Linked DNA regions of Caenorhabditis elegans. The protein of the gene in region 3 interacts with the protein of the main gene of each other region in a biochemical or structural test. Each region holds a gene or a part of one and is shown on either strand. Other genes may lie near its edges.

The links.
Region 1: the proteins of ufd-2 (region 3) and atx-3 form a complex in vitro, tested with the Caenorhabditis elegans proteins (one study listed by BioGRID).
Region 2: the proteins of ufd-2 (region 3) and cdc-48.1 form a complex in vitro, tested with the Caenorhabditis elegans proteins (one study listed by BioGRID).

Annotation. Positions count from the first base shown.
Region 1 is NC_003283.11:15,574,912-15,579,229, forward strand, and holds atx-3 (Ataxin-3 homolog), read right to left. Parts: upstream 2,533-4,318; 5' UTR 2,416-2,532; intron 1,977-2,415; 5' UTR 1,968-1,976; coding exon 1,800-1,967; intron 1,752-1,799; coding exon 1,606-1,751; intron 1,556-1,605; coding exon 1,401-1,555; intron 1,256-1,400; coding exon 771-1,255; 3' UTR 587-770; downstream 1-586. Other genes in the region: Coiled-coil domain-containing protein mdt-28, read right to left, coding at 1-163, 428-485; F28F8.9 (uncharacterized protein), read right to left, coding at 2,742-2,897, 3,000-3,121, 3,168-3,246, 3,309-3,494, 3,546-3,575; F28F8.7 (ELM2 domain-containing protein), read right to left, coding at 4,182-4,318. UniProt on the Caenorhabditis elegans protein: Acts as a chain editing deubiquitinating enzyme that binds and cleaves 'Lys-48'-linked polyubiquitin chains, with a preference for chains containing four or more ubiquitin molecules thereby modulating protein degradation by the ubiquitin-proteasome pathway.
Region 2 is NC_003280.10:10,559,387-10,565,284, forward strand, and holds cdc-48.1 (Transitional endoplasmic reticulum ATPase homolog 1), read right to left. Parts: upstream 4,022-5,898; 5' UTR 4,005-4,021; coding exon 3,807-4,004; intron 3,679-3,806; exon of another isoform or gene 3,566-3,678; intron 3,529-3,565; coding exon 2,701-3,528; intron 2,655-2,700; coding exon 1,582-2,654; intron 1,549-1,581; exon of another isoform or gene 1,331-1,548; intron 1,327-1,330; coding exon 1,132-1,326; intron 1,083-1,131; coding exon 947-1,082; 3' UTR 645-946; downstream 1-644. Other genes in the region: C06A1.6 (uncharacterized protein), read right to left, coding at 4,789-5,181, 5,225-5,290; C06A1.7 (uncharacterized protein), read left to right, coding at 5,526-5,576, 5,623-5,898. UniProt on the Caenorhabditis elegans protein: ATP-dependent chaperone which probably uses the energy provided by ATP hydrolysis to generate mechanical force to unfold substrate proteins, disassemble protein complexes, and disaggregate protein aggregates.
Region 3 is NC_003280.10:8,060,937-8,066,831, reverse strand, and holds ufd-2 (Ubiquitin conjugation factor E4 ufd-2), read right to left. Parts: upstream 4,092-5,895; 5' UTR 4,081-4,091; coding exon 4,024-4,080; intron 3,982-4,023; coding exon 3,655-3,981; intron 3,610-3,654; coding exon 2,688-3,609; intron 2,638-2,687; coding exon 1,728-2,637; intron 1,680-1,727; coding exon 1,325-1,679; intron 1,273-1,324; coding exon 889-1,272; 3' UTR 639-888; downstream 1-638. Other genes in the region: pdha-1 (Pyruvate dehydrogenase E1 component subunit alpha), read right to left, coding at 1-387, 519-532; T05H10.8 (peroxiredoxin-like family protein), read right to left, coding at 5,368-5,508, 5,553-5,756. UniProt on the Caenorhabditis elegans protein: Acts as an E4 ubiquitin ligase mediating the assembly of polyubiquitin chains on substrates ubiquitinated by another E3 ubiquitin ligase. The elongation of preexisting ubiquitin chains preferentially targets ubiquitin 'Lys-29' and 'Lys-48' residues.

The DNA.
Region 1 (4,318 bases), on a different chromosome or scaffold from region 3:
TTCGTTGAGCCGGCTCCATCATTTCTCATTCGTCTTTCGTCGTTTTCAATGGATCCATCAGCGGCTCCTTGTGGAACACTATTCGAGTATTCGTCGTCTGGAAGATCCGGAGCATCGCCGAGAATATCGTCAATGTCCTCACCGCCGCCGCCGAATTCTGGAACTATTAGATTTTGTAAAATATTTTTATTATTTCGGCTCAAGGGTGCCATCAAATAATTTTTTAAAGTTTTTTTTTTCAGAGAAAATCGGGAAAAAATGATCAGAAAATTAACAAAAAAATTCAATTTTTATCAAATTTTGTATTAAAATAGCTTAAGATATTGCCATTTTCTTCTTTTGAGTAAAAAAACTGGGAAATCCTACTCCTCGTGGAGCACTAGCTTAAGCTCGAATTCGAAAAATTTCTTGAATTTTCAAAAATCACCATTCATTGGCATTTCCTGTTCTTCTCCGCCGTCCTCTGCATCCAATTCCTCGAACATTTTCAATCTAAAAAAAATGATTATTTTTTCCAAAAACTCTAAAATTGAAGGTAGTAATACTCATGGAATGCCAGAATAACTTTGAAAAGGGCAACAAAATTCAGAAAAAAAGGAGATTTCATCTAATTCTAAATAATATATCACATAGTCTGAAAGCGGTTCATACATAAGCACCAAGTATTTGGGGATACAAGTATCGGGAGAAATGAATAATCGAATTATACAGGAAAAGCCGAGAATATATTCACATAATAGAATTCAAATAATAAATTTACGATTAAATCGTTATTTTTCATCGTTCCTCTCTTCTTTCTTCTTTTCGAATCGCTCCAAAAACTTTTGTCGATCTCTGCGCTGTTGTTCGGCATTTGAAAAAGGTTCTGAAGCTCCTGGCGGCGTCGAAGATCGAGAACGAGTCAATAGCGGTATCTCAGCCGGTTCTGATGGTCCTGGAGCCTGGCTCAGCTCAATCGCCTTTCTGAGATTTTCTTCATCGATTTCAGCGGAACTTCGAGACACTTCAGAGCCATCCTTTGTTTCCATAGACATTGCAAAAGCTATCGCCAAATCTTTTTCTTCTTGAGAATCCGGAGGAGCACCGCTTCCACCGCCAAGTCGTTTTCCGACGGTATTGAAGAATTTTGTCATGACTTTCTCCAGCTTCTGCTCCTTTTTCGGTGTAACTTTTGGCGGTACAACTGGGCATAGCGAGATGAGATCGTCTGCATCGGATCTTGGCAAAACTCCCTGCACCACGAAGATTGAATAACCTGAAAATTGATAAATTAAAATAATTTTCGATTTTTGGAACTTTTTTTCAGAAAAAAAAATCAACGCTACAGCTTGTAGTTTAGGGATAAATAAAAATCTGGCTCTAATTATCAAAATTTAGCTTCAAAATTCATGAATTTATACCTTCCGACGACACTTGATGCAAGAACATGCTAACATAAGTGTCAGAGAGCAATTTGGGCCCACGGTTCACCGAATTCAGCTCGAACCATTGATTTCCGAATTTTCGGAGCACAAACCAGTGCTCTCTGAGGTTGCATATGTAAGCACGGGCGGTTCTGAATTGGAAATTATGAAATTTTTTTGTAAATTATATGGTAACTCGTACAAGGGATTATTTTTATAGTCCACCATCGCAGGATTTTCGATATTTGTGAGCTTGAGGCTAAATGTTTCAAGTGCTTTCTCCAAAACTTGAATTGAAAAGTAGCCGCTTTCGTTCATGTTCTCACTTCGTCCCGGAGTTGGGTTTGCCTGAAAAATCAAGAATTTCAATTAAAATTTTTTCGTATTTTCCATTACATTTCCCAGAATTTGTTGTTCCATTTTATCCATCTGAATGGCCAAGTCTCGGAGATCTTGCCACTTGTACAGAGCATCTTGTAGGAGCATATTCAGCGCGTGTTGAGCACAAAGAGCAGCTTCCTGGTGCTCGAAGAAGATGGAGTTGATCGGATCGTCTTTTGACATTTTTTGGAGCTGGAAAAATTTGGATTAGGGAAACGAATGGAGAAAATAAATAAAACACCTCAAATTTTGGAGAAGAAAACTTGGAAATAGTTTTATTTTTTCGATTTCACAATAATATTCCTCATGCTGAATGCCAAAATCGATATTTTTTGTAAGACGGATAGGTTTAAAAAAAAAATTGAGATTTTATAGGAAAATTCGCGAAGAATTGTTAACAAGCTGTTATTTTTCGAAAAAAACAACACGACTTCTAATGTTTTCCATGGAACTCCAGCACAAAACTGCAAAACCATCGGATATATTGTTAGAATTTTTACAGGATAAACTTATTTTAATAAAATTACGTCAATTTATAACTTGTTTTTCAACAAAAATAACCAATTTCGTTTGACAACCTACGAAAAATGTGAAATTTGATGAAATCGAAAAAAAAACGAAATTAAAAAACCTCAACGATGCTCCGAAATAACGACACCGCGTGTTGTTTATTCTACGTTTTATTGACTTTATTCAAAAGGTTTTCGAGAATTTCAGCTTGAAATAAGAATTTCGGTATGTTTTGGAGCTGAAAAAAGTCAAAGTATTCTGCAGAATATTGTTCTGAAATTGAAAAAGTCATAAAAATCGTATCGTAAATATAATAAGGCTTAAACACAACCTCGAAAAAATATACGACATTTTACAATGAAATCGAGAGAAATTGGCTAGTTTTATGCAAAATTCACAGAAGAAAATCAATAAATAAGTTAATAAATATGTCACATGAAATTAGAATTAGTTCTGGTTTTTCGGCGACTTCAAGTCTCCGTTTTCGTCGATTAATTGCATCTTCAATGCGCGAAATCTCGTCCAATACGTGACGTCATACCATTCTTTGATGTCGAGAACTTTTTGAACGCCTTGTAGCTTCAACGTCCATTCCACGGGGCTCTGTAACGATTTTTGATATAATTTTTGGTAAAAAATTGAGAAATAATTTATACAACGTGTCATTTTTTGTAGAAAATCTTCAATTTTAAATTTTTATATTACTTTAAAAGGAATTTCGAAGCCATCTTTCCGTCTCCGCTGAGCAATCGCCATCTGTCTTGCTGATGTGATTATTCGAAGTTTTGCCAAATCTGTGAGCCTTTCCAGCGCTTTTTCGTCGATTTCTAAGCCAAATAAATATGGAAATGAATGAAAAATTCAATTTTCTACCTTCAAATCCTGCAAATAGTGTCATTAATCGGATGCCAGCCTGCAAATCATTTTCGAACTTCTCCTTCTCGACTCGGCACTGCAAATTGACTGAAAAATATGTAAAAAATAGAAAAAAACTGTTGAAAAATAAATTCTTACTCTCTTTCTGCATGGCTCATCAAATTCCTCGGCTTTTCGTTTCTCAATCTTCGGAATTTTGAAGCTTTTCACATTTTTGAAGTATTTTTTCACATTTTCTGTTTCTTCTAAACTCCAATCGTCTCTTCGAAGCACGTCTTCCACGTACATTGTGGCGCCGAGAAGGTAGCGGGCCATTTTTTTTAGCTGAAATAAGTCATTTAAAGCGTAAAGAAGGAAATCTGGGGCAAAACGAACAAGTTGACAAGAAAATTCATCTATTTCCATTAAAAAAAATTTCGCTGAAGAAATTTGCCGACGTCACTCCAATGTTGCGCCGGAGCCTTGTTTAGCGTAAATCTACACAAGCAAATTTTAGCGGTTAATTCGAATATTAAACCTGAAATCTCTCGATTTGGGTAAAGAAAACAATATTTTCAACTGAAAACTGAAGTATAAGTTGAGTTTTTGGATAATTCAACCAGCATTATGAAACGAGAAACAAGAATATCAACAGAATATCACTTTTGTAAGTGAGAACCGGGGGAATGTTTAAATTTAAAAAAGGGAAAGCAATTAAAAATGTCGAAATAACTTCGGGAATTGAGAAATGTGCAAAGTAAGAAAACAACAAAAATTTATAGTCAAAGTACAGGGATTTGGAATTAAAAAAAATAAGGGAAACATACAGTTACTTCAAAGGCGCAAGCGTCATTGCAATTCGATGGGTCTCGTAGCGAATGGTTTATTTTTGCATCATTATTTTTTGCTGAATTTCGAAAATATTTTTATTTTATTTATTTTTAAAATTTTTTCATAAAATCTTCGTCTTTTGATAACGTTTGCGCCTTCAAAGTAACTTTAAACCGAAAAAAATGCAATAGGATATGTGATTTATGGTCTTTGAACTCGTTCGAAATTTTTCGAATTTTTCACCGAAACAATCATCGTCTTGAGCTTTTCCGCTACTCCTGGGCAAACTTCAACGATCATGTGATGTCCATTTTGATAACCGCATTTTTGGAAAAGCG
Region 2 (5,898 bases), 2.5 Mb from region 3:
ACGACTAAAGTAATGGAAAATAAATAGTAGAAATGCGACTTTCAGGCATGAAAAACCAATTTTTCTAGAAAAAAAAAACAAAAGCACTGTAGTGTGAATTTGTTCGTGACGGTGTTTCTTACAAAAATGTGCATATTTGCGGCAAATTTTGTGTTTTCAGATATTTTTAAGAATTTGAAAACTATTGGCACTTATCAGTTACTATCAATATTAATATCTGATCTAAAAGATTCATGTGACAGACAACGAGGACAAGGAATTTTTGAAAATTGGCCAGAAACGAGTTCAACAAGCTTGAAGATAAGCAACTATAGTACTCAATTCGGCATTTTCTTTGTTAAAAACCTCATGACTATGTACGAAATGCGTGCACTCCTATGAGTGTGGAGACAATATCGATGGAAAATGATATCAATGAATGAAAAAGCACTTCTACTTTCCAAAAGATCAAGAACAACTGGATCGCTAAATAGGTTTGATGATTGATATTAAAACCTGGTCCAAAAAATTACGTTAAACTTAGGCAACTTATCTTAAATACAGCTTCCCATTATCAACGGAACAACCAGTCATTGGTCATGAGACAATTCCACCTACACAATCACAAATAATAGTTTGAATATGGCAACACAATCGTACACAATTATGATTACAGACATCGTACATTTATATGTCAAAAACGGCAATACATACAAAACATTGGGAGGGATGCAAAAAAATAAATGGGATATACTTTTTGATCAACTGGGATGTAGGTATCTACAAATTTTTTCTTCTCGCGAAGATCATCCGTAACCATTAATTTCTAAAGCGAAAACATGGGCTCAATTACAATAAATAGTGGTAAATCGGGGGTTGGAAAGGGGTGAAATACGAGGTGAAAAAGTGGGTATGGGAGAAAATAAAACGAGTATCATACATAGACTCAGTAGATAAACTCAATACATTAGTTATAAAGGTCGTCATCATCCTGAGCAGGTACAGGGGCAGATGGGGCATCGCTTCCGCGTTGTTCTCCTGGGAATTTGAAGTTGTTTCCAAAGCCACGAGATTGTTGCAATGTTTGTGCAAACATTTCGTACCTACAAACATATTTTATAGACATACAATAAAACCATTATCAAAACTCACTTTCTGATGTCATTGTCTGTAACAGAGCGTCTGGCAAACTTCATGGCTTCCTCGAAGTGAGCACGAGTAATTTCTGGTACTGGATCAACTGCATCGTCTTCCATGAGCTCCTCACCGCGAGCTTGGCGATCTTGACGTTCCTTCTCAATCCGAATTTCCTTTTCGATCGATTCGCGAATAGCCAGCTTACACGCTCTGAAAATGTCATCGTTCACACCAGGAAAAATAGAATATCGGGGCCTTAGCGCGACTTTAGATACTCTAACTATTATAATTTACTGTGAGACGATTTTTTATATAGCACAAATATGACACTCGCGTAACCATGAACACAAAACTTGGCAGAATCTGAACTGCAAAACGCAGCTAAGAAGAGCCAAGAATGTGTAGATTTCGCAAGTTCTTAAGTTGTGCGTTTTGAACAAATTTTCAAATAATTAAATTACTCACCTCTGACAAATTTCGGTCAAATCGGCTCCAGAGAATCCAACAGTGTTTTTGGCCAAGAAGGTCAAGTCAAGATCCTTGGAGAGTGGGGTTTTACGAAGAGAAGCTTTCAAAATTTGGTGCCGAGAAGCTTCGTCTGGGAGTGGGATGTAGATAAGCTGATCAAGGCGACCTGGACGAAGAACAGCTGGATCAATGATATCAGGTCTGTTTGTAGCTCCGATGATGAACACATTTTTCTTCGCGTTCATTCCATCCATTTCGGTGAGCACTTGATTGATTACACGATCCGATGCACCTCCTCCATCACCGCCGGCGCCTCCACCTCTTGCCTTGGCAATCGAATCCAACTCATCGAAGAACAACACGCAAGGAGCAGCTGCACGAGCCTTGTCGAAGACATCACGGACGTTAGCTTCCGATTCTCCGAACCACATTGTGAGCAATTCTGGACCCTTGATGGAGATGAAATTGGCTTGACACTCGTTGGCAATTGCCTTGGCAAGAAGTGTCTTACCACATCCTGGTGGCCCATAGAACAAAACTCCTCTTGATGGCTGCATTCCAAACTTGAGATATTTTTCTGGGTGTTCCACTGGATACTGAACCAATTCTTGAAGTTCGCGCTTGACGTTTTGAAGACCTCCAATGTCGGACCAAGTTGTATTCGGAGTTTCGACAACAGCCTCGCGGAGAGCGGATGGGGAAGACTTTCCTTGAGCAAAACGGAAGTTTTCCATTGTGACAGCGAGTGAATTAAGAACCTCTGCATCAATTTGGTCATCTTCGAGATCAATGAGCTCCATCTTTTCACGAATCTGTTGAAGAGCGGCTTCCGAGCACAACGATGCCAAATCGGCACCAACGAATCCGTGACATTCATTTGCAATTTGTTCAAGATCAACATCATCCGCGAGCTTCATGTTTTTCGTGTGAATGCGCAGAATCTCAAGCCGGCCGACTGCATCTGGAATTCCGATATCGATTTCACGATCGAATCTTCCGAAGCGACGAAGAGCACCGTCAATCGAGTTTGGACGATTTGTTGCAGCAATGACCACAAGGTTAGAACGACCCTAAAATAATTATTATTATCGAATCATATAAAATTTAAAAGCATACCTTGACTCCATCCATAAGTGTAAGCAATTGAGAAACAATTCTGCGCTCAACTTCTCCATTGGTCTTCTCGCGTTTTGGTGCAATGGCGTCAATTTCGTCAATAAACAGAATAGCTGGTTGATTCTTCTCGCATTCTTCGAAAGCCTTACGAAGATTTGACTCGGATTCTCCAGACATCTTTGACATTACTTCAGGTCCGTTGATAAGGAAGAAGAAAGATCCGGTTTCATTAGCAACAGCACGTGCAATAAGAGTCTTTCCTGTGCCAGGTGGACCGAAGAGAAGAATTCCACGTGGTGGCTTGATACCAATAGCCTTGAAAAGTTGGGGATGTCGAAGTGGCAGTTCAACCATTTCCTTGATCTGAGCCAATTGCTTCCGAACTCCTCCCAAGTCATCATAACCAATATCATTCATGCTCTCTTCTTCTTCTTCTCTCTTGATCGGATCTCCTTCGTAGTGAATCATGGTATCAGGTGACACAATGCAGGCTGGAGCTGGCTCAGTTTCGACAACTTTGAATTCCACAGTTCTCATGGCAGCTTGAACAGTGAATATATCTCCCTTGTGAAGTGGGCGGTAAGCCTCCAGGAAGTATGGCTTGAGGAAAACATCGAACAAGTTTCCAGTGAGTCCTTCGATAGTGTCATCAATAGGGAGCACGTGAATGCGGGTTCCGTAACTGAGATTTGGAGCTGGCGTAATGCTCACGACGTCTCCGAGGCGAATACGAAGATTGTTGCGGACAACACGGTTCATGCGAACTTTCTCGTTTGGACAGGACTCATCAGAGACAATGATGGCGACAGATTCCTTTCGCTTCTTTCCCTGCAAAAATAATCATTAGAATCGAAAAATAAAATTTAATTGTGTGACAACCGTTTAAAAATCGAGATCAGCACCTTTGCGTGGTGTTAGGATTACGAAATACTTTGAAACGATTCGTTACTTGATCTATATCGCACAACTATGACACTCATAAAACCATCAGCAAATAAACAGTACTAGCTTCAAAACAGAACGTTTTTCAGCCTATATTGTAAATCACAGACATTACAAGTTCTTAAATTGTGCGTTTTAATCAAAAATTAAAAAGAAACACATACCTTCAGGATGACAGCATCTCCACGGAAAAGTCCCAGTTCGTCCATTTTAGCTTGGGAAACTGCGATGACGGAATTATCATCCTGCTCGGACTGATCGACGATCAAGCGATTCGGCTTTACCTTGTCCTTGAGAATAGCTGTCGACAGCTCATCATTTTTCTTCTCTTTTTCGCTTTGATGCGTTGGAACCGAGGCCATTATGTACAATTTAAGACCTAAAATAAGAAGAATGAGTGTCCAAAATGATAGTGGGAACGAAACTATAAAAGAAAATTGAGATTTTAAAAAAGTTCACGAAATTATTTCTAAAAACGACACAGATTTGAAAATTGTCATCATCCACGCATATAGAAGCGTGTTTTCAACAAGTGTACGCAAAAAGTGTTTGGTGATTCTGACGTTAGGGCGCGGTTGCTTTATAATTTTAGCGCGAAGTTTGAAAAGGATTTTCACTGTTCAAAAAATTTTAAAATTTCTAAATAACGAGACGTATTTGTAAATATTTGCGATGAAAAGCGTTGAAACTTCAAAAAAGTTCTTTGAAAACGGAAACGCAGTTTACAATTTTTTGAAATTTTTCGGAAAAAAGGAACTAGTAAATAAAATCTACCGTTTGCACGTTTGCGGTAATGTATGTAGCTGGGTCCAGGATGAAAATATGAAAAGGAAAAAAAGTGGACTGTAATGTAATGCTGGTTTGGAAAAATAACTGTTATTTGCAATAACGCACATCAGCGTTTGGGTCTCGAAACGATATGCCGTTAGTAAATGCAGCACTTTGTAGATCGATAAAAATGATTTGCAGCATCACCCGATCGATAGACGGAGAACGAAGAGATGTGAAACGAGACGAGAGGAGAATAGTCTTAAGATTTTGATTCTTGATAGTTTCCCAGATCTATGAATTTAATAAGTTGAATAATTTCCAAATTATTTATTCCCGATCGAGAATTAGAATAAATTAAACAAATAGATTAATGGATTAACATTTGCCATTGGATGGTCTTCTTTTGATTCCAAGAGCACGATTAGCTTCATCAATTTGAAGTTTTTGAAGGGAACGACGTTTACGACCTCCACCTCCACATCCACAGCATCCGCATCCGCAACCACATCCACAACAGCATGGTCTACAGCAGGTACAACATCTAGTACAGCAACAAGTTCTACAACAAGTACAACAACATTTGGGTCTACAACAGCAGCAGCATCTTGGTCTGCAACAGCAACATCCACATCCACCACCACCTCCTCCACATCCACAACATCCACAACATCCTCCATTTCTTTTAACACGAGAAGATCCGATAATTGATGTTTCAGATGAAATTATAGATATTTCTGTTGTTGATACTGGCAAAACTCCTGATTCAACCTATAAGTTTCTTAAATACGAGAACTAAATCTATTAATCTAACCTGTGAAATCGATACAATTGTATAAATCAGTACAACTAATGTAGATCCAATTATGAATTTGGTCATTTTGATCGAATAGAAACTGATGAATATCTCAATTTTATGGTGCTTTTATATAACTTTTCCATGATCCAAAGTGTCTTAGTTTTTGTGTTCAATTTCCATGACGCGGCTCGCGCGGAGAGATCACAAAAAATGGTTTCCGGCAAAAGTGTCAAATGAGAGACGACAAACACGTAAGAAGAAGAGGGTATTTAATGGATGGAAATTCGAAAACCATATCGAACGCTAATAATCTGAAATGAATAAGATCGTACTTCTGACTCTCTTTGCCCTTATTGCTATTTCACAGGTATCGGTAAAGGTTCTAAATGTTAGAAAACACAATACTATTATAGGTTGAATCAGGAGTTTTGCCAGTATCAACAACAGAAATATCTATAATTTCATCTGAAACATCAATTATCGGATCTTCTCGTGTTAAAAGAAATGGAGGATGTTGTGGATGTTGTGGATGTGGAGGAGGTGGTGGTGGATGTGGATGTTGCTGCTGCAGACCAAGATGCTGCTGCTGTTGTAGACCCAAATGTTGTTGTACTTGTTGTAGAACTTGTTGCTGTACTAGATGTTGTACCTGCTGTAGACCATGCTGTTGTGGATGTGGTTGCGGATGC
Region 3 (5,895 bases):
CATCCGTGACAACGGTAAGCAGTGATGACGGCATCTCCTTCTGTCATTGCAGCCTTCATTCCGACGGCACAAGCTTCTTGACCAGAGTAGAGATGACAGAAACCGCGGATTTTCTTCTCCTTGTACAAGTTTCCAGCAGCAGACTCCATGCGACGAATGACCTGCATGTCACGGTAGTACTTGAGAGCATCTTCTCTGTTCAAGGTGACAGAGGTGTTTGGTCCATTGTCAAGTTTATGAAGTTTGCATGGCTTTGTGTGGAATGATACTTCCGTGCTCGCAAGACGAACTTGCTGTGTGCGGATTCCACTGGCAGTCAAGGATTGAAGTTGTCTCGCGAATAAAGACATTGCCGTCGACCAAATACGTTCCAGATGTACCAAGCTACTGAAAGCAGTAAATATATTTCAAAAATAAAAATTAATCGGATTTGGGATGACTGGGAACGTATAAATATTATAAGTTATTGACATGTAACAAATCACAAAACAATACGACACCGTTCGTTATAAACCTACAGAAATTTAGTCATTCCAGGTTCAAGGCTAAAATCAGAATATGTGAAGAAATTCACAAAGAATAAAAATATAAGTATGCGGATCGGAGACCGCAATAGAAGCCAAAATTTAGAAAATAAGTAAATTAGTATAAATTTATTCACATTCAAGGCACTACTCGTGTTTTTTAGGTTTGATGAAAGAGGGCAAGAATACCAACTTTAAGGAATCCATGCAGAAAATGAAACCGAAACCGAAAGATTAGACCATTGAGAGACCAGAAAAACTTATAAAATGAAAGGAACGCGTGAAATTTACAGACATTTTGCACATGTGCAATGGTCAAGTACAATAAATACAAAATTGGGTAACAATAGAATATGATAGAAAATTATTTCTTTGAATTTCTTTTCTGGCAAATCCATTCCTGAATCTTTGCCTTCAACTCAGAATCGGGAGAAAGCTCATTGTGCGACAAGGGAGCACGATTAAACGGATTATTGGGTGTACTGAGAAGATGCCTCTCGATGACTGCACGATCCATCACGTGTCCTGATGGCAATTTGACAGGATCAACCATAATTGCATCCATAATAGGATCCTTGAACTCTTCTGGTACATCATCATACTCTTCTTCAAGCTCAGCTTTTGCCTCATACTCTTTTTTAACATCTTCGGCCAAATGTTCGAAACTTTCGAGTTGACTGAATCCAACAATACTATTCTTTCTCATGCATTCAATCGCATTATGGAAGAATTCAGGACTGTAGGTACGCTGAAAAATAATTAAAATAAATCTCTTTGAATAAACAAATGTGTTAACCAACCTCGTCGTATGCTATGTATTTAACAAATGCAGGCATATTCAGCTTTAAATAGATTGAGATCAGCAACGATACAAACTCCCGTGGTTCCCATCCATAACTTCTTGGATCCTTGACTTTCAACTCGGAGGCCTTGCTACCAATGAGTTGCGATAAATTGTGATTCAACATTGCAGCAAGTCTTTCGCCGAGAACCGGAGTACGGAAAGGTTCGGGTGAGTTTACGGTAATCGATAGTAGCAATTTAAGATTACTTTTGGCTGTTCCAAGCCATCCCTTCACTTTACGTTTTGCCTCCTCGTACACGCCGAGATCCTGATTACGGATTTCTTGATCTGTGTTGTCCCATTCGACTTTGCTGAAAATAAAATTTATATTTTTAAGTTATCATTCGAAATAGTCTTACTTCGCCATCTTTTTCTCAACATCATGGATACTCTTCAAACCAGACAAGCTCTCATCTATACACCATGTTGCATCGTTAATCACCATATTGACAAACCGAATGAACTCTGCTCCGCATTCTCTTGCCATGTCCATAAACTTTCCTTTGTAGAACATATCTTCCTCCATTTTTTCCAACATGTACTGGATATTTCCACGAACGTTAAACTTTTCATAAAAGTCACCATTGTCTTCGAAATCCGAGTAGAACTTTATCATGCACATCAATAAATTTTCTTGTGCCATTCGAAGTCTGACCACGTTGAACCATAATGGAGGTTGAATAGAAGACAGCACTCTCACCAGTTTGGAAACGAGAAATGGGCTTTTGATGTAGTGATATTGTGTGAAAAGGACCGTCAGACGGGAAATCCAATCCGCATTTCTCTCCATGAGCAGTTTCATTCCATTGGAAATAGCGAATATGTAAAAATCGAGAGCATCCTCTAGAAAATATTCTGGGAGCGCACAAAACATTTGTGATACTTCAGTTGGAAGTTGACTGTCGTCTCCGAGCAAATCCAAGTTATCACAAAGCAAATTCAAAATGAATTTCATCTGCTTATCGACAAAATCCATAGAAGATGCCATTAATGCAGGATCTTGAGCTTGTGTCTTAACACATAAAAGATGACGAGACATGAGCTTCCAGTGTTCAGTCTCATAGTTCAACTTCTTTTCCACCTCAGCTCTCTCGAATCCTGACACAGTATTTAGTTTTTCTTTGAGCGCATTGATCTTATGCTTGAGCTCCTTAAGGTGTCGAGAGTATTCACTTATTTGATTCATCAATGGAGGAATAACGAGCCTCTGTGCTGCAATTGTCAGGAAGAAGCAGACTGTAGAGAAATGATATTCATCTGGACGATCTGCTGGAAAAAGAAAACAAGTTAATTTTTTGAGAAAGAAAAATGAAACTTACCGAATTGGCTAGCAAAAGCGACTGCTCCTGATTCGTCCATTTTGAGACGAGTCTCCTTGGAAATATTTATAAGCGAACTCGGTAAAAACGGATAATCTACGATAATTTTGGACAAGTCGATTTTCTCGGAAAACATGTACATCACGGACAAAAAATTTGTCATATAATGATCACACAAGACATCTGAAGGATCATAATGTGAACGAGTGCGAATGTCATTGGTGCTTATGATGGTGGCAATCCATCTTAGAGTTTTGTTGCGACTTCCTTGATCCGAAGCAAGCGGAAGCATCAATTGATGAAGCATAGTTCGAATTGGATCCATTCTTTGGAAATACAGTTTCTGCTCAGTGTTGACTGATCCATCATATTTTCTTGCATCTTCTTCACAATCCACAAAAACTCGATGATTTGGACGCCTTGCTGATGATTCGAGGCCGTACGAAAAGAACGGTCCTAGGAAGGACATTAAACCAAACTCGCGTCCTTGTATTTTTTCGGACGGCGTTGGGAGAAAATCTTCTCGATTAACAAGTAGGTTACTCAGTGGGCGAGGTCCGTTTGAAGGGAGTCTGATACTGAGAAGCAAGTTCATCACACGAAGGATCTGACGAACAATTTCGTCCTTATTGTCTTCAAAGCGTTGACAAATAATTCCGCTCCGCAAAATCCCGAAAATTGGATTAAATGTTTCTGTAATAGCGTCTTCATCGCATTCATCTGTACTTGCAAGGTATTCAACCAATGTTCTTAGAAAAACATTTGACACCGTATCCTCCAGAAGTCTTTTTGTGAACACCAAACTAGCATGTTGGCTGCGAAGTTGGCTCTCCAAGTAGCCTCTCTGTATCATCACAAAAACTGAGAAAACTGCTTTCCTGGTAGATTCGAGAGTTTTCTTGTAGCAATTTGAAGTACCGCTCTGAAAATTGTTAAATTAAAAATAGAACTATATTAGATAGAGTACCTTTCCAAGCTCATGATGGCAACGAACAAAATTGATTAAGAGAAACTCGATGGCGTCTTCTTCACGACATCCAGCAATGATATCAGGGTCGATGAAATTGAACGATCTTGACAGCCCCCTTCTTGATCCATCTTGAGATAAAAGTACAAACTTTGTGATTATTTCGGCAATGTTCGATTGCAGACACTGAGGAGAAACATCAAAATTCAGATTTTGAACATCGATTATCGCATCGGCGTAACGAAGCATTCTGTCATCTGATTTACCTTCACAGTCAAAGAGACTTGTGAGGAAGTCTTTGCTTTCAACATCTGCCTGAAAAAAGAACTAATCGCCTATGAGTATATAAAATGTCAGGCAAAAACGCACCACAGAAGCATCACTTATGTCCATCGGCTGCAAGCCTGCTTTCTCGTCTTCAATCATCTACGATTTCTGGAAATTCGTGATGATCACGTGATTTTGATAAGTAGAGTAACGATAAAGAGAATGGTGAGAGGTCTGATAACAAATATTTTACGGTAATGGGAACATTTATGAGACGGAAAAATTAAACGCAGAGGATTGTATGAAAACAATATTGGACTAGAATTGTGTATAGAGGAAAACATAAAATTATTTTCGAGAGCAAAAACTGTAGGAAGACATTTGCACCGCGCGCGCAAGAGATAGAAAAATCGAAGGAGCAATGCAGCTGCAAAGACGCTGACATTTCGGCCTCTCAATGAACATGCAGTGGAGCGCGTTTGCTGCACTACCGAGACACCACATTTTTGCAGGAGAGAAACATCGGTAGAAAACTGAATTCGGAAGAACGAGTGTTAAATATTGTATCTTTATGATTCTATTTTCAGACACCACTTAATTTGAATATTTTTAGAGCAATAAGAATTTGAAGGGGCAGATAAATTAAGCAACAAAAAAGTATATAAATGAACGAGACTGTGGATGGAACGCACATTTTTGATTTTACAAAATTTTATTCTTTAATAAATATTGTTTTTTTTAAACGAGAATAAACCTCACTTTCAATAAAAATCGTTTAGTTAACTATAGTTTCAAGAGGAAAACAGTAGCGCAACTCAACAATCGATTGTGTACAATTGAGACCCGAGGGACGTCATTGTGAGACTCACCCAATTCTAGACATTTATAGGCGGGTACCTGGTCCACCAGCAGATGTCCTTCAATACGATAAAAAATCAATCAATACACACGTTTGTTGCTACTCTGATGCAATCGTAAATATTCCGGGATATGGCCAGGGTACTGTAGGATTACCGTGGATTATTGTACTTTTAGAAAACTATTGAAACGATCAAAAAAATTCATATGGCCATATATGGTTTGCCTTGAAACTTCTATGTAATAGTGTTGTGTTTTATTCTTCAGATGATAGATTTTTAAATTGATTGAAAATTGAAAATAAATTGAACTTTTTTATTCCAAGAATACAGTAAAAGTTTAATAAACGAGTCTGAAAATCTTCAACCAAAAGAAATCAAAGCATCCGAACATCTTTTTTCACTGTAAAATAACAACCACATTAAATTCGAGTGTTTTTTTTTTGGAAGTTCCACATTGGAACAAATTGAAAATAAATTAATGTTTATGTTATTTCATAGTTAAATAATCTAATATTAAAATAATGAATTAATAATGAGATCAGCCAAGATAACATGTATGGTTTTAATGTAAATGTAGTCTAGATATTTAACTAATTACGCAACACGGTTTCTTTTTGTCCGTCGCCAGTTCCTTTGTTACAGAAATTTCCGAATTCACTTTTGCCAGATTTCCACCTTTCGGAATTGATATTGTAGAATTATTAGTGCTCTCCAAGTATTTGGCGTTCTGGAGAAGTTTGTTAAGAGAGTTTTAAAAATAAAAAAGCATACCCTTGCTTCAACCAGTTTTACTATTTCATCAATATCTGGCCATGAATCTGATTTATCGTCTTCAATGTGCTTGTAAAGAATTTCTCCTGATTTATCCACAAGTACAGTACCACCTTTTTGAGAAATGTAAGAAACTGAGTCTTCTGAGCTTGATGCTTCTTTCGCAACAATTGAATCTCCTTCGACGAGAGAGGCTTCCACAACCTGAAAATTTCCAATTTATACACAATGATTGCTTATCCTTCCCACGTTGCAATTTGATATCAACTTTTTTGCTCAACGTTCGCCAAAGAATAAAAATTTGTTTGAATTTCCGACAAACTGTTACTTTCAACAAACTCTT